6 linked regions of the Danio rerio genome follow. The protein of the gene in region 1 purifies or fractionates together with the protein of each later gene. This does not show direct contact. Links are inferred from orthologs where the notes say so. Each region holds a gene or a part of one and is shown on either strand. Other genes may lie near its edges. The genes, in order: rela, daxx, carm1, tnip2, kpna3 and map3k8.

Region 1 (4,194 bases):
TAAGAGGTGATTCTTTTTGGACCTTTTTGCAGTTATTCGTCTCGTTTTCTATTTAATTATGAGATTTAAATACTGTATTTAGCTGTCATTTAAACTACTATGTTTAGCTGGATTAGCTTGTTGGGTGGTCATTATAACCACACTTTTTGATGTACCAAAAATATTTATTTTAGGGCTGTCTCTCATCCCTGTATGAACAGAGTAGGAGTCTGATTCGCATTGCCAGCAATACAGTTGAAGTCAAAATTATAAGCACCCTCCCTGCTGACAAATCCAGCCTAAACCAGTCTAGGCTGGTCGACCAGGCTGGTTTAAGAGGGGTTTTGGCCACTTCCAGGCTGGTTTCCACCCATTTCCAGCCAGGTCTTAGCTGCTCAGGCTGGGAGATGACCAGCTAAAACCAGCTTGACCAGCCTAGCCAAGCTGGGAGTCCAGCCAAAACCAGCTATATCCAGCTTAAACCAGGCTGGTCAAGCTGGTTTTTGCTGGATTTGGCTGGTCATTTTCCAGCCTGACCAGCTAAGATCAGGCTGGAAATGGCTGGAAACCAGCCTGGAAGTGGCCAAAACCCCTCTAAAACAACCTGGTAGACCAGCTAAAACCAGCCAACCAGCCTAGGCTGGTTTAAGCTGGATTTTTTAGCAGGGCTTTGCATCTGTTTTCTTTTTTAAATATTTCCCAGATGATGTTGAACAGATTCAGGAAATGTTCACAGTATGTCTGATAATATTTTATTCTTCTGGAGAAAGTCTGATTTGTTTACATGTCACATTAAGCTGTATAGAAGTGTCTTGAAGAATATCTAGTCAAATTCACTGTCATTATGATAAAGAGAAAACAAATCAGTTATTAGAGATGAGTTATTAAAGCTATATGATTAGAGATATGTTGGAGAAATCTGCTCTCTGTTACACAGAAATTGGGGGGAAAAAATAAATAGGGGGCGAATAATTCTGACTTCAACTGTATTTGACAAATTCTGGACCCTAGTCATTTAGGGCTGGGTCTTCTGAACCGCCCTGGCTACAGGCCTGGATAGTTTACTAGATAGTTGAATATAAGTTAGATGATTATGTCAGACTTTTCTTAGTGAAGAAGCCAAAAGTATTCTCATTATTTGTCACCAAATACAGTATATTATTCCAAAAACAGTGAATATGTAACAAGACATCTGAGTCCATATCTTCATTTGACATTGATTTTGGTCGACAAATAAGTTTGTATTGCTAAATACTGCCCATAAGCTAATCTACAGTGCGCGTGTGTTCTCAGCAGTCGTGTTGGTGATGATGAATCGCGTCATCCGGGTATTTCCGCCCACGGGAGCGCGCCTGCTGTAGTCCCGCGGAGGCGCGCGGAAGGAAAGTGTTGTCGCGGTGTGTCGTTTATTTTTCACCGTCGCCCGGAAACGTTAAAAAGTGACCGAGAGCTGTGGAGACCCGCGACATGGACGGTAAGTCGAGCTTTAATGCCGGGTTTCTGCATGTGAACGGCGCCAACGGGGGGTTTGCGGTGTCGCGCGGAAGGGAAAGTCCCGCCGCTAAACTTTTACTCTCGGTTTCGGCTGAGAATCGATCGGTCCCCTGTCTCCGGGGCTCAGGTCGGTAAACGGGTCACGAGAATCAAACACGACAACCATTACAAGGCTGCAGAGCTGACGTATCGCGGCCTACAGGTGTGTGTGTGTGTGTGTGTGTGTGTGTGTGTGTGTGTGTGTGTGTGTACACAAACAAACAAAAACACTTTCAAATACTTGTCAAAAAGTCCTCAGAGATCACGCGATACGCGGAAAGTGGCTTGTTGACAAGGTTACGTTAACTTATGTTACTTTTCCTGGTAACGTTAACTGCTAAGTTCTGTGTGGGTTGGTTAATGCTAGTTAGTAGCTAGTAAACTTCATCGCCTGTGTGAGCTAACGTTAACTGACGTAGCGAAAGTAAAGATGCACTAACGTGATATTTGTATTATGTGGCTGCTTGTTCATTGTGGACATCTGACGATAAACCTGTTTAGGGGTGTGTTGGCTAGTTCTGGTTATAAACTCATCTCCTTCATGGACTCACTGATTTAGCACAGGTAAAGCTACTCAAAGTATATCTATACTCTTTATTTGGTCACTTGTTCATTGTGAATGTCTGATGATAATACTCATGTTTAGAGTGGGTTGGTTAGTGCTAGATAACTAGTAGTCAATGAACGCCATTATTAACTCTTTGATTTAGCAAAAGTAAAGGTACTTTGTCACAATATTTATGTTGTTTGCCCACTGGTTTATTGTGAATGTCTGATAAGGAACATATTTTGGGGTGGGTTAGTGCTAGTTATGGCTAGTAGTCATAATCACCTTTGTGAACGCACTGATTTAGCGTGAGTAATGCTGCTTGTTTATTTGGCCACTTGTTCATTGTGAATGTCTGATGATAATACTCATGTTTAGAGTGGGTTGGTTAGTGCTAGATAACTAGTAGTCAATGAACTCTATTACGAACTCACTGATTTAGCAAAAGTAAAGATACTTTGTCACAATATTTATGTTGTTTGTTTGCCCTCTGGTTTATTGTGAATGTCTGATAATGAACATATTTAGGGGTGGGTTAGAGCTAGTTATGGCTAGTAGTCATAATTACCTTTGTGAACTCACTGATTTAGCGTGAGTAATGCTGCTTGTTTATTTAGCCACTTGTTCATTGTGTATATATGATAATAAACATGTATTAGTGTTGGGTTGTTTAATGCTAGCTAACTAGTAACCAAAGCCACCTTTTTGAACTGGTTTAGAGAAAGTAAAGCTACTCTATTACAATTTTTGTGCTGTTGCCACTGATTCATTGTGAATATCTGATGATAAACCTGTTTAGGGGTGGGTTGGTTAGTGCTAAAAAACTAGTAGCCACCTTAATCAACTCACTAATTTGGCAAATGTAAAGCTACTCTATCACAATAATGACCACAGGTTCATTGTGAATATTTGATAATAAACATGTATTAGTGTTGGGTTGGTTAGTGCTAGCTAACTAGTAACCAAAGGTACTTTTGTAAAGCTACTCTATTACAATATTTGTGTTGTTTATTTGGCCACTGATTCATTGTGAATATCTGATGATAAACATGTTTAGTTGTAGGTTAGTTGGTTTGTGGTAGCTAACTAGTAACCAAAGCCATGTTAGTGAACTGATTTAGAGAAAGTAAAGCTACTCCATTACAATATTTGTGTTTCATTGTGAATGTTTTATAATAATAATAATAATCATAATAATATTAATAATAAGCATGTTTGGTAATAGGTGGGTTGGTTCGTTCTAGTTAACCTGTTAAAGTCTCCTTATATAGAGTAAGTAATACTGCTCAAAATGTTGTTTGTTTGGCTGCTTGTTGATTGTGAATATCTGATAATAAACCTGTTTAGGGGTGGGTTGGTTAGTGCTAGAAAACTAGTAGTCAGTGTCGCCTTAATGATCTCATTGATTTAGCAAATGTATCACAATAATGGCCACAGGTTCATTGTGAATATCTGATAATAAACATGGGTTAGTTAGTACTAGTTATGGCTAGTAGTCAAAGTGTCCTTTGTGAACTCACTGATTTAGAGGATGTAATGCAGCTTGTTTATTTGGCCACTTGTTCATTGTGAATATCTGATAATAAACATGTATTAGTGTTGGGTTGGTTAGTCATAGCTAACTAGTAACCAAAGTTACATTTGTGAACTGATTGAGAGAAAGTAAAGCTGCTCTATTACAATATTTGTGTTGTTGTTAGTGGTAGGTTAGTTGATTAGTTCTAGTTAACTATAGGCATTGGTCGGTATAAGATTCTGGCGGTATAATAACCTTGGATAAAGATACCACAGTTTCATGGGATAGTGATTACTGCTCTAAAATATATTCTTTTTAAATGTCTGAGTAAAAAACTAAAAGTTTCCCTTTGAATACAATATATCTTAATTTGAGAAGTATTTAATATATTTTGGAGCAGTAAACATGTCAGGTTGAATAATTCAATGAGTCACTGACCTCTGCTGTCTTCATTCATTTATTCATTTTCTTGTCGGTTTAGTCCCTTTATTAATCCAGGGTCGCCACAGCGGAATGAACCGCCAACTTATCCAGCAAGTTTTTACGCAGCGGCCTCAACCCATCTCTGGGAAACATCCACACACATTCGCACACACACTCATACACTATGGGCAATTTA
Region 2 (3,500 bases), on another chromosome or scaffold:
TTATTATCACTCCTTCTCACATTCATCTGATAAAAAGTCAAATAAAATACACATGCACCTGATCACTTTCTAGAAATATCAATAGCATTTGTATTAAAGTATTTGTATTTCCACTGTATGCAGCATCCGGTCATGCACCAGCCGGCTGAAGGAAAGTTTCTTCCCTCAGACTATCAGGCTGATGAACACTTAACACACCCACACACAGACTCTTCCATAACCCTTACAGCAAACCATCAAAATGTAGCATGCACTGCACTTTAACCAATCCATACTTGAAACAAAACTACCTACAACGATGTGGACACCTATTCATTGTACATATCGCTGTCAATTTCACATTGTCACTGTGTTTGCACTGTCTGTATTTTGCACTGTCGTTGTATTTGCACTGTATCTGTATTTTGTCGTGTCTGGAGTCAGCACCTAAGCTTTTCACTCATCATAGCACACATGCTGCTGATGATGCGACAATAAAAGTGATTTGATTAGCAAATTCCCTGACTTTTCTGATTTTCACCTACTAAAACGCTAAATTTCCATGACCCAGACACCTTACTTTTCACTCAAGAGCAGTGTAATTTAATTATATTTTGATTAATGGGAAGTACTATTTAAAACGTATAAATAAAAATCCATAACTTGCACAAAAAACCCCCGACTTTTAATGCCTGCAATAGAACTTTTAAAACGGATTAAATCTACATTTACTGAATCGATTGCTTATGAATCAGAATCTCAATCAATGCCCACCCCTAGTTTGAATCATCAAAAATTCAAGTCATTAGATTATTACAATATGAGCTTTTCCTTCTGAATTAGACAGTTATTAAATGAAACTGATTTACTTGGTTTGTATGGATCTGTGAGATGAGAGCCGAAGTTGTAGACCATGTCAAGGTGTCGTCTCTCCTGTAGTTTGTTGCCCGTCTCTCTGAAGGCTTCTTGGGAGATCTGTGCTTGCTGTTTGCGGGAGAGCTGGAGATTGTAGCGTTCGTTGGCTCTCTGCACAATCTTCAGGATATCGCTGTAGTCTGGAGGATTGAGAAGAGCTTCTGAACTGTTGATGAAACGCTCAACCTGCTCAACAAAAAGAGAAGAAACAATAAGAGATAATGAGAGAGGAAAAGGTTTGGGTAAACATTGATTCATTTATTAATATTAGGCCCCTGGAATAGGCTAGTTCAATAAGCATTTTTGAGTTTTATCAGGAGGCATTTAATGTAAACATAAAATAAAATAATATTCTCAAATATAATAACACAAACATTTAAATTAATTTATAATTGATTTAATTAAAGTAAATATATGACAAAAACTAAACTTATTTTTATTTCTGCAAGTTACAAAGAAACTATACAAATAAAAGTATAACAACAAAAAATAACAGGAAAATATCATAATCAAACTAATAAAGCTTAAATTAAAAACAGATAATCGAAAAATAACACATTTATTTAATCAACAAATATTTTAAAATCATAAATATTCCATTAAACTGAATTAATTTAATTTAATTTAAGTAAATGTACTAATTTCTGCACTATTGAATTATAAAATATTAAGGTTACAGTAGTTAATGAAAACCAAAATAATTAGTTAATAATTAAATAAACCTTAACTTATAATTTTAAATACATCACAAAAACTAAACTTTTATTTCTGCTAGCTGCCAGGAAACTATAATAAATAAAAGTATAACATCAAAAATAACTACAAAAGACCATAATCAATAATAATTTAAATTCAAAGCAGTTAATCTAAAAATAACACATTTTAAACTATAGCAAATACTACAATCGTTACTTGATGATGCTAAAAGAAAACCAATCCATACTTATGAACCATTTTTGATCCCTAAAACAATGAATCTTCAAGCAAATACAAATCAATGATATTATAAATCATGTTTTACTTGAAATAAACACACAAAATAAAACAGTATTAAAAAGAATCATCTGATCAATGATCGCTATCATACATAAATCTCTATTTATTTCAAATTTTCTAGCCTATGCTTTAAGGGAATTTATTATAAACTAATTAAAACCTGAGCTAAAACTCCCCTCTTTTTAGAGAGTCTAGATATTAGTTTTTAAATTGCTTTAATGTATGAAAATAAAGTAAAAAAACTGTCCAAGCAAAAGCCCGCACCTTCTTGTTGATCTCTGGGTATCTCGTTCCACTGTATGGGATCTTCTGCTCGATCACTCGACCCGTCAGAGTGTTACAGCCTTTCAGCTCACACAGCTTCTCATAGATCTTCATCATCTGACACCACAAAAACAGCTATAACAACTTCTGAACGTTCACAACTTCTGCTATAGATTTCATAGATTATACATCAAAACAGATTTAACTGAATCTTTGAATACAAGTTAAAAAAATGGCAGAAGTGAATGGGGTTTGTAATCATGTAATTTTTTTAAAGAAAATGTTGCCATTTTTTAATTTTTTGTTGCAAGTAATTTTACTGATATTGTATGTGTAGTAATGTGTTTTTGATTTAAGGTTGGAGCGGTGCATTGGGTAAGCTAAATTGTCTGTAGTGTACGTGTGTGAATAATAGTGTATGGGTGTTTTCCAACGATGGGTCAGCTTGAAGCACATCCACTGCGTAAAACATATGCTGCATAAAATGGAGGTTCATTTCTCTGTGCCGACCCCACATTAATAAAGGGACTAAGCCGAAAGGAAAACGAATATATGCCTGGCAGGAGGCAACAGATGAAATTTAAGGGCAAACTCACACTGTACAGTTGCCTTGAACCAGGCCAAAGCACGCTTGTCCCCCTTCCGTCTCCCCCGACGGCCCGCACTCACATTACATTCAGGCCTGGGCACCCTTACGTCATCGATGCTGTACTGTTCAGTAAGCGCTTTCGCTCAGCACAGTGGACATTTCTTAATCAGTTGTATTGTTTAAGTCATTTAGAATGCGGTGACACGCAGTAAAATATTTCGCCGAACAGATCCATGACTTTTGACGCTCATAAACAATCATAAAGACCTCGTGCTGCAGGAATTAGGAGGTTTGCTGAAGGTGCAGCTGTCGTGCAGTGAGGGGTTTGCGTCTTTAAAATCTACAACAGTTTGTGTTCATTGAACAGTACGAATGATAATAATGCCATATTAAACAGTCTTGTAAAAGTCACGTCTCATCTTCAGTTTCGGCCTCTGGTGCACTTTGCTCATATATATATGACATTTAACCGTGCCTGAGCCCGATTCAGAGCACTCACACTTCTGAAATGATCCGGGAAACCCTGGGCACGGTTCGAATAGCATAGTGTGAGTACGCCCTAAAATTCTTGTGACTAACTTTGGCTAATTTAAAGTTTTTCTCTTTGAGCATTGTCCCGGCTAAATAAATACAGAAAGAACTAAAATCAGGAATAAACAAGCTGACCTTGCGTTTAAGTTTGTGCTCTTGAATATAACTGGAATCTTCTTTCTCCAAGTCATCCAAACTCAAATCCCCCTCCTGAAGCCGGCGGATC
Region 3 (3,500 bases), on another chromosome or scaffold:
CAACTCAATTATATAATTGACTACCAGCCTAATCTGTCTGTGGAAAGCTTGAGATAATCCTACAACAGCTGGGGAAATAAATGACAAAATCCCTCATCCTGGCATCACCTTTTACTGTTGCAGTGTCGAGAGCTCGCCAACTTAATGTCTTTGAACAAGGCTGGTTGGTTTGATTTTGTTTAAGCTTGTAATGGTAACATTAAATCAGCAAACAACTCCCAGGAAAGATGAGTATTATAAATGCAAATATATTTAAAGTATACACATGTATGTGTGTGCTTTTTATGTATACATAATACATATCCACAGTACATGTATTAAGTAAATAAAAGCTTTTATTTTGTAATGTAATATGGTTTTATATAGTGCATTTATTACCATACACCCAAAGCCTTTTACACTCATGTAAGGTAATTTTCGCATGCAATTAGTCACATTTAATCTTTAAACAACACTAAAATGAACTTTTTCCTCACAAATTTTTAAACAATTATTCACTTAAAAGTGAAGAAATTATCATTTATACTCCCTTTTATTCCAGTTTATTAAAGTTTTTTATTTTCCTGTGGAGCACAAATGTTAAAATCAATCTTGTTATCGCTGTAAATGCCAGTCCAGTGTTGTTTTGCACCATTGACATTGATCATTGACTGTGACTGTATGGATAATGTTTTGAAACGTACATTTTCAGAACAATTAGTTGTTGTTTCTTCACTTAAAATGGTCAATAATATCCAAACTTATGAGTTGTTTTAATGCAGACTGCCTATTAGATTTATAATAACACTGTTATTGAATTCTAAAGGAAATGTTTTGCTCCCCTCCACAGATGAGGAGACGTGTGTCTTTAAGTGTACAGTATTGCGGGAGACAGAGTGCAGTCGTGTCGGGAAGCAGTCCTTCATCATAACTCTAGGCTGTAACAGTGTCCTCTTGCAGTTTGCATCTCCAGCAGGTAAAACACAGCTTCTTTTACAAGCCCATAATCCTTCATTGTGATTTATCAGACCTTCAGACAAGTGCATCGCCAGTCAGCTGGTGTGCAAACTCAATTAAATAAAAGAATCAAGCTCGTCCTAATGTGTTCACTGCTGTTGTTTTTCACTAGATTTCTCGTCGTTCTATAACCTCTTGAAAATTTGTCGTGGACAAAAAGGCGACCGTTCAGTCTTTAGTGACAGGACAGAGGAGTCTTCAGCTGTACAGTATTTTCAGGTGTGTCTGGCTTCTTATTGCCCTGCACGTGCAGATATTCATTTGATTTTGCCTTACAAGCTGAACCATGAAGAACAAGTTTAGAGAAAATCTGACTAGCATGACCGGAATTGGCATGTTGTGAACATCTTTTTCCCTCCATTTTCTTTCTCTCAGTTTTATGGGTATCTCTCTCAGCAACAAAACATGATGCAGGATTATGTACGAACTGGAACATATCAACGAGCCATCCTCCAGAATCATACTGACTTCAAGGATAAAGTAAAGCTATTCTCTTTATTTTCTCTTCTCCTTTTCTGTGTTAAATGTGCTTACAAGTTGAGAAGTTTTCAAACTGTTTTTTCAGTGCTTATTTGAGCATTTTTTGTTCCTAAATGTCATTAGTCAGGCATTTTTGCTTTTATGACTTTAAGGTTTAGCTTTGATGTTGTTCAGACTTAAATACCTAAAGCTGGAACAGTTGACTTATTGCGACAAAGTAAAAGGGGACACCTGAGTCAAATTTATTTTGAAAGGTTGCTCTTTTTTTTGAATGATGTTTTTCTGAATGATTTCTTATTAGATTAAATCTGTGGTTTGGACTTGGTCTTGCCTTGTCTTGTGATTCTTATGCATCCTTTTATCTTTTTTTTTTTTGTCTCAGGTGGTGCTGGATGTAGGTTGTGGCTCTGGCATTCTCTCATTTTTTGCAGCTCAAGCTGGTGCCCGTAAAGTTTATGCTGTGGAGGCCAGCACCATGGCTCAACATGCAGAGGTTAGACACATTCCTCAATCACTGACATGCGCTTCTGTTCAAAAAAGGTAGATTAGTCTCTTATTTTTACCAAGGCAGCATTTTTGTATATATTAAAATTGAGTTTATGCTTCTAATGGCAAAACTGAGTTTTCAGCATCATCACTCCAGTTCTCAGTTTCACATGATCATCCACAAATCATTGTAATAGACCTATGCAAAGATGACGTTAAAAACCAAAACTCTAATTTGCCACTTGTTCACTGAAGGTTTTACAGTTTAGGAGTTGGTACTTGGAGGTTTTATTGTACAATGTGAACGTTACACACACACACACACACACACACACACACACACACACACACACACACACATTCTTACTACATTTGAAAATAAAAATAAACATTTATATGAGTAAAATATGTTTGTTGCACAGCAAAGCGTAAAAGTTTGGATAATTTATCTTTACCACAGACTCACAAATAAAATAACTCAAAGAAAAATACTTAAGGTTGTTAAGATAATTTAATAGGGTCATTTTAGCCATAAACTCTTTGTAAACGGCCCGTTGTTCTACTCTTACAGTAACTAACAGTATTTACAATATATTTTTATTTTTAAATAGAAAAAAAAATCAAAAGTCCTTTTCCTCTTGTGTTTTTGTAGGGAGGTTATTTCGCCATTAAAGTTGTTTTTATTTATTTCTGCTCTAACATGTATAATAAGTTCTTTGCTGCAGAGATAATTTTACAGATTAGCTTTTATAGAAAATAACTCTTTTAAATAAGTTTATCATACGATGCTGCTCATGCACCTAACATTTTGGAAAAACTGTGCTAAAACATGAAAACTGGGCTGATGTACTGTTCTATTGAGATTTTTTTAACGCTGTCCTGGGATATTACCATGCTTTGAAATAATCAACTTTTTATTTGCGCTTTAACACTTTTTAACACATCTATGCACAAGTACACTACCTAATGTAAAGGAGCAAATTGAACCTGATTGGTTAATGGGGTAGATGACACAGCCAGATACCAAAACTAACAGTTTAATGTTTATTTTTAGGCCGTGCTGAAAACTATCATTCATATTTTACACTTAAGGAGTCACTTTTGAGTTCTTAGTCTTGCATTGTTTTGTTGCATAGGTTTGAGGTCTCATATGAACAAAATAGGGCTGTGCGATTAATCGAAATCGAATAGCAATCGTTATTTGAAACATTTCGATTAGCGAATGGCAAAAGGCTGCTATATGAAATATATATTAACTTTCCCACCCAGACCAAATGTGTAACTGCCATCTGTGTGTGACAGTCTTACTAGCCAATTAAGTGAGCACACTTGCATTCTGCCCAATCAGAATTGCACAATCAAACTATGCGGAATGCCCAAAATAAAATACAAACAAACAGGAAAGCGCAAACGAGTGAGATGACGGTGTCTGCAGCTTTAGAAGCATTAATAGACAAATTAATATCAAAGAAAAAAACGCATGACGATAATATGGGAATATCTTGGTTTCAAAGTCACTGACACCAAACAAAACCAGG
Region 4 (4,275 bases), on another chromosome or scaffold:
GGTTGCCTTTTGTTTTTCCCAGCCGTTCTTAAATGCCAAGAAGTTGCAAACGCAAGCACTTCTACATTCCATCCTCAAATGAAAGGGTTGCCCTAATGTGATCCAAGAGTAATTACCAACTTCATTGCCTATAATTTCACAGATTTACTTCATACCTCTGCAGAAGCATGCCTAAACAATAAAAAATGTGTATACACAGCTGAAATGGCTGTTGTGTGAAAAAGCACCTTCAGCTGTGTTCTTATTGTGACAATTATATTTATATACATGTGCGTGATTGACTTATATTTATGAGTAATATATCACGTCTGTCAAATGCGTGTCAATGCTGTTTTGATACCACAAGATGGTGGCAAACTTTAAAGAACAGTTTTGGACTTTCCCTAGGCAGAACATCATGAACTCACACAAACATTACATGCTCAACGGGACTTTCTGCCGTTTCATGTGTGCTGCTTTTGGCAGAGGGATAAAGATTCTTCGCACTAAGAATGAGGGTTTAGACATTGTAAGTTTGTTAATTACTGTGTAATTAAAATGACTGTTTTATGGTTCAATCTTCAGATCACAAACTAAGCACCGTTGGCTTTCATTGTCTAGACAATTGACAAGATGTGATCCAAGATAATGGCAGGCATTATCCATTATGAAAAGAGGAATGGTATGAGATGGAATCTTTTAAGAAAGGGGAGTTTTAGGCAGTGTTATGTTATTTTCATCCAAATATTCAAAACATTTTTAAAATAATAATTAAAAATACTATTTGGTAAGATTCACATTAATCTAAATATTTTTAGATTATATTAGATTAGATTATACTAAACATTTTTAGAAATATTTTTATTAAAAATACAAAATATTTTTTATTAAAAGTTAATTTGATTTAAATAATTACACAGGCAAAAATGATGAGTAGAAATGATATATATTTAATGTATTTATTTATTATTTATTAGTCTTGAACAAGAATTATCTTTAACATTTTAGGAGGGGGTCCTATGGTGGTGGTGTCTGAAAGCCTCTGGTAAACAGACTAACAGAAAGGTAAACAGTTTCGGTTCCCAATGGAAACAAAACAATGGAGCTAAATAGGAAACAACATGTTACAGCTTTCTTTAGCTAAAGAATTCCGTTTTGTAAAAGGGTTAATCTTATTTTTGATATTGGACTACGTTATACTTTAAAGTGTGGGATATTTTTATAATAAGCTATGGTGTGAATAGACTCCTGCTTTCGATTTTGAACTTTACCTACGTTTCCATATGTAAAGATTTGTCACCTGTCCAAGTTCAACTGACTACTCCCTTCACGGATGCTACTTGAGAATACTGTGCGTGTTAAACTGCTCGTTGTACCGTGTTCGGGAGCGACGTGACAAACTTAATCGTTATAACCAAGGAAGCTAAAAGCAAACGTTTAACCACCACGCGCGTCACTGACAGTATAAAGTAGCATGCTGGTCGCGCGCAATCCTCGTCCACGCGCACCAGGCGGCGTCAAACTGAACTGTAAACTTAATCCGACACGAAGGAGCGAGTCGACTGTCTCTTAAACGTGTAAAATCACTATTAAACCGCACACGACTCGACAGTTAACTCGTTTGAAGGCAAAACAGCGCCTGTAACCCCAACTATTCTCGACGTTTTATGTGCAGTACAAAAAATATACCCAGTTTGAGATGGGGGGAAGTCCCCGTGAGGAAATCCCCTGTTCATAATTTCGAAATTGAGTGAGGCTCTCGCAGACTGAAACTGCTCTGAAACATTTTGGTCTAACATAAGTTACAGCAGACGCCTGTGAGCCCTATGACACTCAGACCTGTACAATATATGGGAAATTTGTACTATATGTGCTCGTTTTAACGGATTGCTCAGCATGGATGAGATGAAGAGGGAGAACGAGGCGCTGAGGGCGAAGTTGCGCAGCTGCTCTACTCTCAACACAATTTACCACGAAACACAGCAAGAAATTGCTCGTTTAAATCAGTTGGTGACCTCCAAAGACGGGATTATTGCCGATTTGAGGGCAAGACTGGGGAAGTATGAGAAAACCGTGGTCATTGAGGGAGAGGAACCTTATATTGTAGGGCCATCGAAGTCACTCATCGAAAGTTTGTGTAAGGAAATTTGCAAATTAAAGCAAAAACTGAAGGATTTAGAGAAAGACACTGCCCAGAAATTGGAAACCAGAGACAAAGTAAGTTAAACACAATTCTGAATTAATAATATGAAATAATTAATAACATTTTCTCTACTAATTAGAGTAAATTTGTTGTTTTTCTTGTCAGTATACTTTTCCAATGACTGTAAAAGAACTGTAAAGTATCCTCTCTATAAAATACTCCAATTCCTAACTCAAGAAATTGTAATGAAATTAATGTTATATCACAAAAACAAAACATGTAAACCAGCTTACAATGTGTTGCTGGTCTTAGCTGGTTTATGGTGGTCTTCAAGTCAGCTAACATTAAGTGCCTTTGAAAAACTGACCAGAAAACTTAAGTTTAAGCTTTGTTTTTCTTGCTTGTTTGTACTGTTAGTCCGGCTTTTTATGTACAACTTTGTTCATGAATACAGAATATGCTTTAGTTTTGATGAAACAAGTGCATTTCGTGTTCACCTTCTCATTTGTGAATCTCCCGACTGCTTGTTTAAGGAGATCCAGAGATTGCAGGAAAAGTTGAAGGAGAGGGATCAAGAGTTGCTGACCATCAGGGAAAGACCAGAGCAGGAGAAAGAGAGGGAGATCCAGCAACTGCGCACCACATTGGCCGAAAGAGATCGGACACAGGCCACCAGGACTGTACTTTGCAACTCTCTTGCTGAAGAAGCCGATCAGTTAAGGGCCCAGTTGGGGGCCACTGTGCAGGTGTGTCAGGAGCTTTTGGGACGGCTGGAAAACGAGAAAAACAAAACAGCCATGACGGATCAGAGAACTCAAGTTCATGAGGTGCGTTGTGGAAACTGTCAGTCTGCAACATTTAAGGCACCTTTAAAACAGCTGCCTAATGATTATATTTGACCTTATATTTTATCAGACATCAGATTCCCCCGAAGTTCCCCAGCTAAATGTCATCATTAGCAAGTTAGAAGAGGAGAACGACCAGCTCAAGAAGAGAGTGGCATATGTAAGGATCACATGATGGAACTGTTGTTTGATCATCACCCTCTGACATTTGTTTTACCTGTGTCATATGCTGAAAATGTCATACTGTAACTGTTACGGAAAGAATCAACAGTGTAAAAAAATTCTTGGAAAATGTCATGTAATTTTTTCACATCACAACTTGTTTTGTTCCATTTCAGGTGGAAAGTTTAAACTCAAAATGGCAGAAGTATGACTCGAGTAGAGAAGAGTACGTGAGGGGTTTGTGTCAGAAGTTGAAAGAGTCAAATGGACTGGCTTCCGCAGATCCGACTCTAACCCAAGCCCCGACTGCGGGACACGTGGCTTTGTTCCAGCAGGAAATTGTGAGACTCAACGGCCTCCTGCAGGACAAGATGATGGAGTGTGAGAGATTCAGTAGAGAGAGGGATGACAATGCGAGAAGAGACCAAGAGCAGATACAGATGCTCGAGCAGCAGGTCTGTATCCGTTCAGTGTGTACAATCCTATTAAATAGGAAGTCGTTGTATTTTTGTCATAACAAAGGTGAGAAGTAGTTTTGTTGTTTGGCTTGCTGCCCATAACACAAATGGCTTACTTGTACACTCACAGGTTCTGGCCTATGTTGAAGACTTTAAATCGGAAAGGGCAGACCGAGAGAGGGCTCAGGGTAAAATCATGGACCTTCAAGATGAAGTTGGGCGACTTCAGCTGCAAATACGTTCACAGGCAAGTCTAATTATTAATTATTCATCAAGGTATTTAAAAATAATTTTAAAATATGCATTGTATCATTTAAAGTCCCAATAAAATCATTTGTAGCATTCTGATTTAGCGTTACAAAATAAATAAATGGACATAAGCATTTATAAGTTGTATTTGAACAAACACGACAGGGTTTTTTCTGGCACAAAATAAGCCGAAGATGGAAGATGAAATGTTTGCTACTTGAAACAAGCACATTTTGCATTCTTTTTAGTAACCCACTCAAGTTAAACATGTTCATATTTAAAAAGGCAGATATTATATGCAACTAAATAAATGACCAATGCTTGAGCATCACTTGGGGTCTGTTGGTTGCCGTGACTGCATGCCTGATTGGTCAAAAGCTGGAGGTGGTGCAAAAAATTATGGAGGTGGCCACCTCACAATTCTCTTTGCAGGAAAAAC
Region 5 (4,036 bases), on another chromosome or scaffold:
GGAGACCTCAGGGGTTACGCAGATGAGCCCACGGCAGAAGATGATAATGATGTCTAGTATCAACAGGGTACGAGAGCAAATGAGTTCATCAAAAATGTGATCGCAGCACCTTGATTACAATAACACCCATTTGAATGTAAGTTCAGTCTCTAATAATGATGGTCCTCTTGACGTCTTCAAATAGATACTATTTAACTTAACTATGTTTGATCATGTAGTCGAGTTCATTTTATTTTGGTCATATATATTGTCACTATCATTTTTTTCATTCAGCCGATATCAATAATTATGACGATAAATGTCACATCTTTATATCTATTAATTTAAAAGGATTTTCAGCATGCCAATCTCATTGCAACTGATTTAAGCTGTCTGACAATATAAATAAAATAATATAAACAATCAAATAATCTTTTCGCAGGATTAGACATTACCCTACAAGTTATTGTATATTATTGTTCAACATCAGAACAAAGTGAAACAGGTTTGGAACAAGTACAAGGTGAGTTAATGGTGTATATATCAGTATATAGTAGAAGATATATAGAAGACTTGCTTTGTTTCCCAAATAAAGTGGATCTAATTGGATTTGCACAGTAAACATTAAACACAAGTTAAAAGGGTATTACTTTTTAGTTCATATATTAGGGTTTTAGTTATGATACTCCCAAAATCATTCTGCATAAATCCAAAGATTTTTAACAAAATTCTGTGCAGAAATAGCAAAAAATGTCCGCAGATTCAGTCTGGCCCTAGGCGTCTAACAGTTTGCAGTGCACGTTGCTCTGTTTTGTGTTGGATTTCAAAAAACTATATAGCTCCAGACTACTGAAGTTTAGTGACGTTTCTAGTTAACAATAGCTATGTTTCCATCCAAAAATTCTAATTAACTTTATGCACAAAACTGGAATATCGCATAAATGAAGTGCGAATAAAGCAGCGTTTCCATCCAACGAGTCAAAGAGAATAAAATCGTAACTTCCTAATTAACCGCCGCCAAAAATCAAAAGTAAAAACGAAATTTGCAGCGGTAGAAGCTTTGTGAATCTTTTATTCATTTAATAAATAACTTGCGGCATCATAGTTTATGCAAATTCTTTTAACTAATAAAAAGTTTATCCAGTTATGCACATGTTTTTTTTTTGTGCATTTTCAAAATATATGCGCATCTTGGCGTTTCCATCAACCATTTTTTATGAATATTTCCAAAATGCACATTAAAATAGGTGGTGGGCAACATAGCTAGTGCCTGTGACCTTTTTTTTTAACTCCAAGTCCAACTTACACTGTATGGCTGTAAACTACTACTACGTGCGGCATCCGGAAGTGCAGGCTGCAAAATGCCTGTGCAGCGTTAGTTACGCATAGTGTATAAACATTATCGAACACTTAATATATGGTCATTATCGGAAAAAAATATATATCATGACAATTATCGTTTTGCTGTAATATAAACAATGAGCCAGATGAAACTAGCTATGGAGTATATATCTCCATGCTCTGTAAGTGTACAGCATATAACAGCTAAAGCTGAATCAATATACAGTACTGTCATTTGCATTTATTAATTTGATATGAGGACTGATAATGAAAGTGCTTAGGCTTTACATAACAGCTTTATTTCTGTTTACTGGCAGAGGCAAATGACAGGGTAAAAATGTCATACATCATGTCCAGCTTTATGCAGGTTAACCAAGAAGATAACTGAAATTATTGAAATTAAAAATAAGTTATGGGCAATTGTGGAGAATACAGAAAAACTCAGTTGTTGCATTACATAATGCATCATTTTTACAGCACATCCTGGCTTACTAATATTTCTAGGTCGCTTTGATACAGCCTAGATTTTGGTGAACACTACCATCTGGAGTTTTTCCTTTCCAGTTTGAGGAAAATAAAATGAGGTTTGTTTGGCTCAGGTGTATCTACAGGGGAAGCTAACTACCACACCAAAGGCAATCTTTTTGAAGAGGAAAAGAAGTTAAGCAGCTGACATTTCACAATGACATCTTCACTAAAACAACCCCTTTCGGCTCAGATCAACCAACACGTTTGTTAAAATCCCCTACAGAAGGGCTGCTAACCTGGCGTGACTGAACAAGCATTAAGGAGGTCAGATGTTGAGGTGTGACTGGTCACTAGTTCAGTTCTGGAGAGCTTGCTAAAGCCGGTGTTAACACACCTGTCTCTGGCGCATGTATCTGGTTCACAAGTTATACTTTACGTTATTCGCTCATGTTTAAGGCGTTTTAATTGTATACATGAATGTTAAATGCGTGGACACGACAAAACACGAGTAAACGTATCAATTAGACGAGTAAGTTAGCTGCCGACTGCTAACCATTTAGCATAGATGCTAGCACGATAAATCTGCATGTTTTGGCCCAGCGCAGTTATAAATGCAAAACTATGTGCGGAGTTACTAAACCAACATAACAAACAAATCCGTCTTGATTTTACACGACTAGACAAAGCAGTACAACCGCCAAAATCCGTGTATAAACCGCGATGAGCTGTAGAATATTGAAGGGAAATGTGTTTAAAGAGGCCTCTATGTAGGCCGCGCCCGCTCCCCATGATGCTCTTGCTGGATCTACAAACACCCGCTCCCTTCTGACACCATAAAACCAGAACCACACAGGCTCAAGGGGAAGAAAACGAGTCGAAACAAAGCCCAGGGTTCAAACTCTCCAGCGGACTTACCTCCACATCTCGCCCCTTGTTTTTGAAGCTCTTAATGCGATGGTTTTCCAAGCCGGCGTTTTCGGCCATGGCTCTGTGTGTATGTGTGTGCGCCTGTAGTCCCGACCGACGTGCGGAGCTCCGCTCGGGGAGGAAGAGGAGGGCGGGGGGTGTAGCGACGTCCGATTCGCGATTCAATGAGTCAGATTTTTTAATGAACCGGTTCGCTAAATGAGCGGTTCTCGAGTCACATTATAGTTCACCCAAAACTGAAATTCTGTCATCATTTATTTGCCCTGTAGTTTTCCCAAACCATGTTTTTCTTCTGTTTAACACAAGAATATATTTCAAAGAAAGCTAAACACCTGTAACCTCTGACTTCCATATTATTCTTTTTTTCCTGCTTTCAATGATTTTTCTGTTCAACAGAAGAAACTGATAAAGGTTTATAGCCTTACCACATGAGGGTGAGTAAATAGTGAGCAAATGTTAGTTTTAAAGCGATTTTCAGCCGCTGATAAATAAAGGTTAATGTGACTATTTTCAATTTCATAATGTTATTTTTTCAGCATCAATATGTAGGCTAATTTAATTAAAATATAGTCCATTAAAAAGACTTAGGCATTCGTTTAGTCGTTCAAACATAGGCCTAAAATAAGATGAAAGGCCATTTAAAGGCAACTGCAGAGCACAGAAACTCCATAGAAAATTCTATCTCTGTATTTCCAGCCTGGTCTTAGATTGTCAGGCTGAAAGATGACCAGCTAAAACCAGCCTAACCACCTAAGACCAGACCAGAAATAGCTGAAACCAGCCTGGAAATGGTTGTTGCTTGATCAGGTTGCGGGTGAAGGATAACGAAAATGATTTATATTATTTATTATTAGCCAAAGAAAGACCAAGAGACGACACACAATAAAACGTTCCATTGCAACAGCAGCGCCCAGCAACAGATTCCGCCATTTTGGAGGGAAAGCGATCGGCTGTCCATTAGATCTTATTGCTGCCGCGATGGCAAGCAGCTGCTTTGTTTATTTATTTAAAAAGCGCATTAAAGCTGAGATCCAACCTGAAAGACGAAAATACAGCACTTACTATGACAATCAGCAGCACTTTTAATAGTTTATTTTTCAGACTTACAATATGCTGTTGTTCTATTGGAGTTTCCATTACAAAATCTGCGCCATCAAGTGGCTGTTTCCCAAATTGCACTAGAGTGTCGCCTCTTAGTAATTCTTTGCTGTTTGACATAGCAAATGAAGCCCCGCCTTTTAGTACAGGAGCCAATCAGCGATCACTATTTGGTGAATAAAGCCCACTTTCTAGTACAGGAGCCAATCAGCGAACGATATAC
Region 6 (4,236 bases), on another chromosome or scaffold:
TTCCTTTCATCACATGCTTCTTGGCACAAGAGAGGGACAACCTGTCTGTCATATGTTCCACCAAATCACATGTTCCACCAAAGCAGACAATTCCTTGTAGACTAAATAATGTTTATCCATCCAGTTCTTACATGGCAAGCTGTTTAATTCACACGTCTAAAAGAGGACTGCAACTGTTAAACTTGACCACAAGATCAAATTTTCATCTGCACTCTGCCACTAATTTAAGACGCCTTTGTAGGCTGCATGTTTCCACAGGGGGCGTTTCTGTCCACTTCCTGTGTGCGTTAGTGCCATTCTCAGTTTCTGTTAAAACACTGCGTGCTGCATACTGACCCTTTGAACATTTTAGGGAAATTGTGTTGTTTCCCAAAAGTGCTGTTCCTCATTTTTAAACACTTTTTCACTGCTGCTACAGTTTCTGTAAAACCTGTTTCGCTTTTCAGAACGATTTTTCACTAGGCTGTAGTTAATAAAGCCATGTGTCATCACATGCTGAATCATAAGTTCATCACAACATCATTCAGTATCATGTGTCTTTTCCTTGATTTATCTTCATGTGACAACTGCTGATGATGATGAATGAACTCTATGCTTAATTCTTATTAGAGTACTTTCAAAGTATTTAAAAAAAATATTTTGAACCTTACTGATAATAGAATGCGGATTCCCAGTAGGAAAGCTATGTCCATAAAAACCTCCTAGTTGAGTGAAAACATCTACCTTTGCCAAAGCAAAAAAAAAGTAAAACCCTGTAAAGATTCCGGAAACAAACATACTTTGCATTCCCTTACTTACTAATTTGCATGCCATTCGCTTCCGAGTTTTGGTGTCCTGAGCCAGATGGACCTTCCCAAATGAGCCTTTGGGAACGTGTCCAGGGCCCTGAGGCTTGTAGGTCAGTTTCCACGGAAAGAGAAGGACGTCCAAGTCGATGCGATAATGCCCCTCTTTAATGATCATGTCTGTCTGTAGGGACAAAGCAGGGTGTTTATGACACCAAAGGCTATCTTGCTAAACAAGTATAAACACTCCTTTACACGGGATTATGTAACTCCCAAAGCAGGTCACAAAACTAGAATATGTAAATAACTTTTACTCTTCAAATCGCACTACAAAAAAATAATGCTCTTCCTATCTTTGTCTTGTTTTCCTGTACAAATGTCAAATAAAGATTTACTTGAAATGCAAAATTACATATTATTCAGTGCCAGTGATTAGAAGTAAGTTTGATAAAAATGGGATCTTGTTTATAGAATAAGCTCATTTTTTTCTCAGTATAATTCAGTATGATGTATAGATATTTGTATTGAAAATAAAGACTGTGAAGGATTGACTATATATTTGATGTTTTTCAATGCATGCAATATTTACTCTCATGATCATACAAATTTAAGTCTTTATGCTTTAATTTAAGAAGCTGGTGGAAAGGCCTCAGAAACCCTTCAAATATTGATGTAAGTTTTAGAACCAATGAAGCTTACCTTGTTCACCAGAACACCCATTTCTCTACCAACATCTAAAAGAGAGGAGGATGGTGTGTTTGAGACCATATTCACAAAGTCCAGGAGGTCAGATGTTGTCCCATAACGGACCTTTCCAGTCTTTTGTACATGTTTAATTAGGTCATGTGCCGTTTCCTCATTCTCGTCCATCTCTTCTTGCGAGAAACCTTCCTCAAACGAAATACCAGATTCCACCACCTCACCAACACTGTAGAAATGTTCTGCCTCTTGAATGAAGTCCTCAATTTTTATGTGTGCAAGAAGCAGTTCTATACAAGAATTTCCATTGTCATACTCCATCCTTGATTGAATAATAAAACAAAATGTTTGATCATTAGAAACATCAACACATTGAAATGAATGCATTCATCCATGTTGTTTTTGCACCCATATGTATGTTTGCTGTGTGGTCAGGTATGTTTCCTGAACAGCTTGCCTGCTCTATTTTGCATGCAAGTGAGAGGTGGCTTAAAACATCTTTAAAATGAATGACAAATGGAACTTTTTCATTGTATTAACTCTCTTTTTTCTCCTCAAGAACAAACAAACAAGAACAAAATATAACAGCATTTTTGAGGTCAAAAATGACCAATTATGAGGGACATGCTAGCAGTAAAAATGACTAGCCCAAGATGATTTATCAGAATGGCTGAATCATAATAAATGCAATCACTTTTTTATGTTTTATCATTTTTGACCTATTACATGTGCTGTTTCTAAATTGATATGGTGTGATCGGGTGACTGATATACACACAAAAAACAGAACTTTCCAAAGCATTGCAGAAATACAACCCTATACACTGCTGCCAAATTTACTTCTTGTTTCCTTTAGAAACTGGGGTACTTTTACCCTATTGCTGTGCATTTGAATCTTACACAATGAAGAACATCCTAACACCCAAGAGTGTGACTCGGACACTTTGGGGATAGTTTTGAATAGCAGTTGGATGAGTTTTTAACATGCAGATTTGGCAACCATCGCTGAATATCCATTTTTGGTTTATGTTAAATAATGAATTTTTAATAATAAAGGCTGTTCATTACTGATGAAAAGAACCGGTGCTCAAAAAGAGTAACTAGAAAGGGTGCTGACAAGCATATGCCAAAAGCCCTATTAAATAATCCACAGTATTTAGCCTACTCTGAACGTTGTTCGAAATAGTATAGGCTAATGAAGCATAAAAATAACTAAACAAAATAAATGATATCTATAAAACACCAGCAGTTTGCCTACCTTTCAGTCAGTGTGTTCACAGCAGGGCGCATACTCAGTGATTGTCCATAGTTCCCTCTGAAGCTTTTTCAGACGTGTGCTCGCTGATAAGAGGAATCAGCGAGCTGCGCGCCTCCGCTGTGCGCTTACGTCACTGCGGTTTCGTTTTCTCTTTTCTCTGAGAGGTGTTTTCTCGTCTTCTCATCGAGATCACGTATCTGCTGCTTGGATTTTGCCACAGTCCCCTATCAGAATGTTCCGTAGAAGGAGGATGTCATTCGCTTTCATCTTTATGATTAATTTGCGCCAAAGGAAAAGTTGCCTTGTTGAAACCATCTTGTAGTAAACAGAAGCTAACTAGTTTTGGTCTATATACGAAATGAGTGAAGTCCGCTGACCCAGCAAAAAATGTGTCCTTTTGTTGTTTTCGCTCATTAAGAGATTTCAAAACTTCTAAACTTGTTGAAAGTGTCAGGGAATCCAGATAACGAATAGTGACAAGATTGTCTTAAGTGTATCAAAATATCTAAACGCTGTTTTCAAATTGGGGGATATCCAGGCTGCAGATTGACAGTTCAGTTTTTCCCCGAAAGTAAACGGCGCCTTAGTGTAGTAGGCTATGGAATGCCAAAGCTGCCATAATAATACATTTGGTTAATAAGCAGTAGCTGGCTTTAGTGATTTGGGGGGCCCTAGTAATGAAGCTCTAAGCTTTTTTTTCTCTTTATAGATATTGTTTTATTTATTTATTTATTTTTTTGTAAATAAAATCTGCATGTTAAAAATATTTATATTGCACTGCATTCTTTATCTTCTTAATGTTAAATGAAATACAATAAATTTGCAAATAAATAACAAGTAATTTATTAGAACAAAGTATGTACAGTTAATTAGCCATATTTGTGTTTTTAAAATTTGCATGTGCAGTAAGAAAGGAATATTCCATTGTTCATGAGGTCCCCTGGTTTGGAAAAAAAGTAATAATGTTAAAATCTTAAAGGTTATAAGCAGATTTTACAGCATATAAAAGAGAATTTATTAAAAGAGATATGATTAATATGCATCCTGACATAGGTTGGGGCCCCTAATTCGCTGGGGCCATAAGCGGCTGCTTTACCTAGTATATTAGTTAAGTTCAAATCAATTTTCAATTCATTTTTATTTGTATAGCGCTTTTACAATATAGATTTTGTCAAAGCAGCTTCACATAGAAGATTATAGTAGATTGAAACAGTGTAGTTCAGATTTTAAAGTTTAAATTCAGTTTAGTTTAGCTAAGTCCAGTGTGGTTTAATAATCACTATTGAGAGTTCAAACAATGAAGAGTAAATCCATTGATGCGCAGCCCTACATATCCCGAACCATGCAAGCTAGTGGCAACAGAGGCGAGGAAAAAACTTCACCATACCGCTAAGTGATGCATTGTGTGTGCTTTACTAAACAGATAGGTCTTGAATCTAGTTTTGAACTGCGAGAGTGTGCCTGAGCCTCGTACCTTATCAGGAAGGATATTCCA

Evidence for each region.
Region 2: the proteins of rela (region 1) and daxx purify together in Homo sapiens (affinity purification with western blotting; 4 studies listed by BioGRID and IntAct, with this or other methods). This does not show direct contact. The link is inferred for Danio rerio from reciprocal best matches to the Homo sapiens genes RELA and DAXX.
Region 3: the proteins of rela (region 1) and carm1 purify together in Homo sapiens (affinity purification with western blotting; 4 studies listed by BioGRID and IntAct, with this or other methods). This does not show direct contact. The link is inferred for Danio rerio from reciprocal best matches to the Homo sapiens genes RELA and CARM1.
Region 4: the proteins of rela (region 1) and tnip2 purify together in Homo sapiens (affinity purification with mass spectrometry; 4 studies listed by BioGRID and IntAct, with this or other methods). This does not show direct contact. The link is inferred for Danio rerio from reciprocal best matches to the Homo sapiens genes RELA and TNIP2.
Region 5: the proteins of rela (region 1) and kpna3 purify together in Homo sapiens (affinity purification with mass spectrometry; 4 studies listed by BioGRID and IntAct, with this or other methods). This does not show direct contact. The link is inferred for Danio rerio from reciprocal best matches to the Homo sapiens genes RELA and KPNA3.
Region 6: the proteins of rela (region 1) and map3k8 purify together in Homo sapiens (affinity purification with mass spectrometry; 5 studies listed by BioGRID and IntAct, with this or other methods). This does not show direct contact. The link is inferred for Danio rerio from reciprocal best matches to the Homo sapiens genes RELA and MAP3K8.

What each region holds. Positions count from the first base shown.
Region 1 is NC_133182.1:1,094,741-1,098,934, reverse strand, and holds the start of rela (transcription factor p65), read left to right. Parts: upstream 1-1,394; 5' UTR 1,395-1,446; coding exon 1,447-1,453; exon of another isoform or gene 1,454-1,675; intron 1,676-4,194. UniProt on the Homo sapiens protein: NF-kappa-B is a pleiotropic transcription factor present in almost all cell types and is the endpoint of a series of signal transduction events that are initiated by a vast array of stimuli related to many biological processes such as inflammation, immunity, differentiation, cell growth, tumorigenesis and apoptosis.
Region 2 is NC_133194.1:8,077,659-8,081,158, forward strand, and holds part of daxx (death domain-associated protein 6), read right to left. Parts: coding exon 3,410-3,500; intron 2,272-3,409; coding exon 2,155-2,271; intron 1,081-2,154; coding exon 849-1,080; intron 1-848. UniProt on the Homo sapiens protein: Transcription corepressor known to repress transcriptional potential of several sumoylated transcription factors. Down-regulates basal and activated transcription.
Region 3 is NC_133178.1:33,005,879-33,009,378, forward strand, and holds part of carm1 (histone-arginine methyltransferase CARM1), read left to right. Parts: intron 1-829; coding exon 830-955; intron 956-1,108; coding exon 1,109-1,215; intron 1,216-1,371; coding exon 1,372-1,476; intron 1,477-1,858; coding exon 1,859-1,969; intron 1,970-3,500. UniProt on the Homo sapiens protein: Methylates (mono- and asymmetric dimethylation) the guanidino nitrogens of arginyl residues in several proteins involved in DNA packaging, transcription regulation, pre-mRNA splicing, and mRNA stability.
Region 4 is NC_133176.1:40,471,500-40,475,774, reverse strand, and holds the start of tnip2 (TNFAIP3-interacting protein 2), read left to right. Parts: upstream 1-1,475; 5' UTR 1,476-1,875; coding exon 1,876-2,196; intron 2,197-2,655; coding exon 2,656-2,949; intron 2,950-3,037; coding exon 3,038-3,127; intron 3,128-3,305; coding exon 3,306-3,584; intron 3,585-3,717; coding exon 3,718-3,834; intron 3,835-4,275. UniProt on the Homo sapiens protein: Inhibits NF-kappa-B activation by blocking the interaction of RIPK1 with its downstream effector NEMO/IKBKG.
Region 5 is NC_133176.1:50,010,958-50,014,993, forward strand, and holds the start of kpna3 (importin subunit alpha-4), read right to left. Parts: upstream 2,801-4,036; 5' UTR 2,773-2,800; coding exon 2,704-2,772; intron 1-2,703. UniProt on the Homo sapiens protein: Functions in nuclear protein import as an adapter protein for nuclear receptor KPNB1. Binds specifically and directly to substrates containing either a simple or bipartite NLS motif.
Region 6 is NC_133187.1:25,362,868-25,367,103, forward strand, and holds the start of map3k8 (mitogen-activated protein kinase kinase kinase 8), read right to left. Parts: upstream 2,801-4,236; 5' UTR 2,774-2,800; coding exon 2,742-2,773; intron 1,807-2,741; coding exon 1,485-1,806; intron 970-1,484; coding exon 799-969; intron 1-798.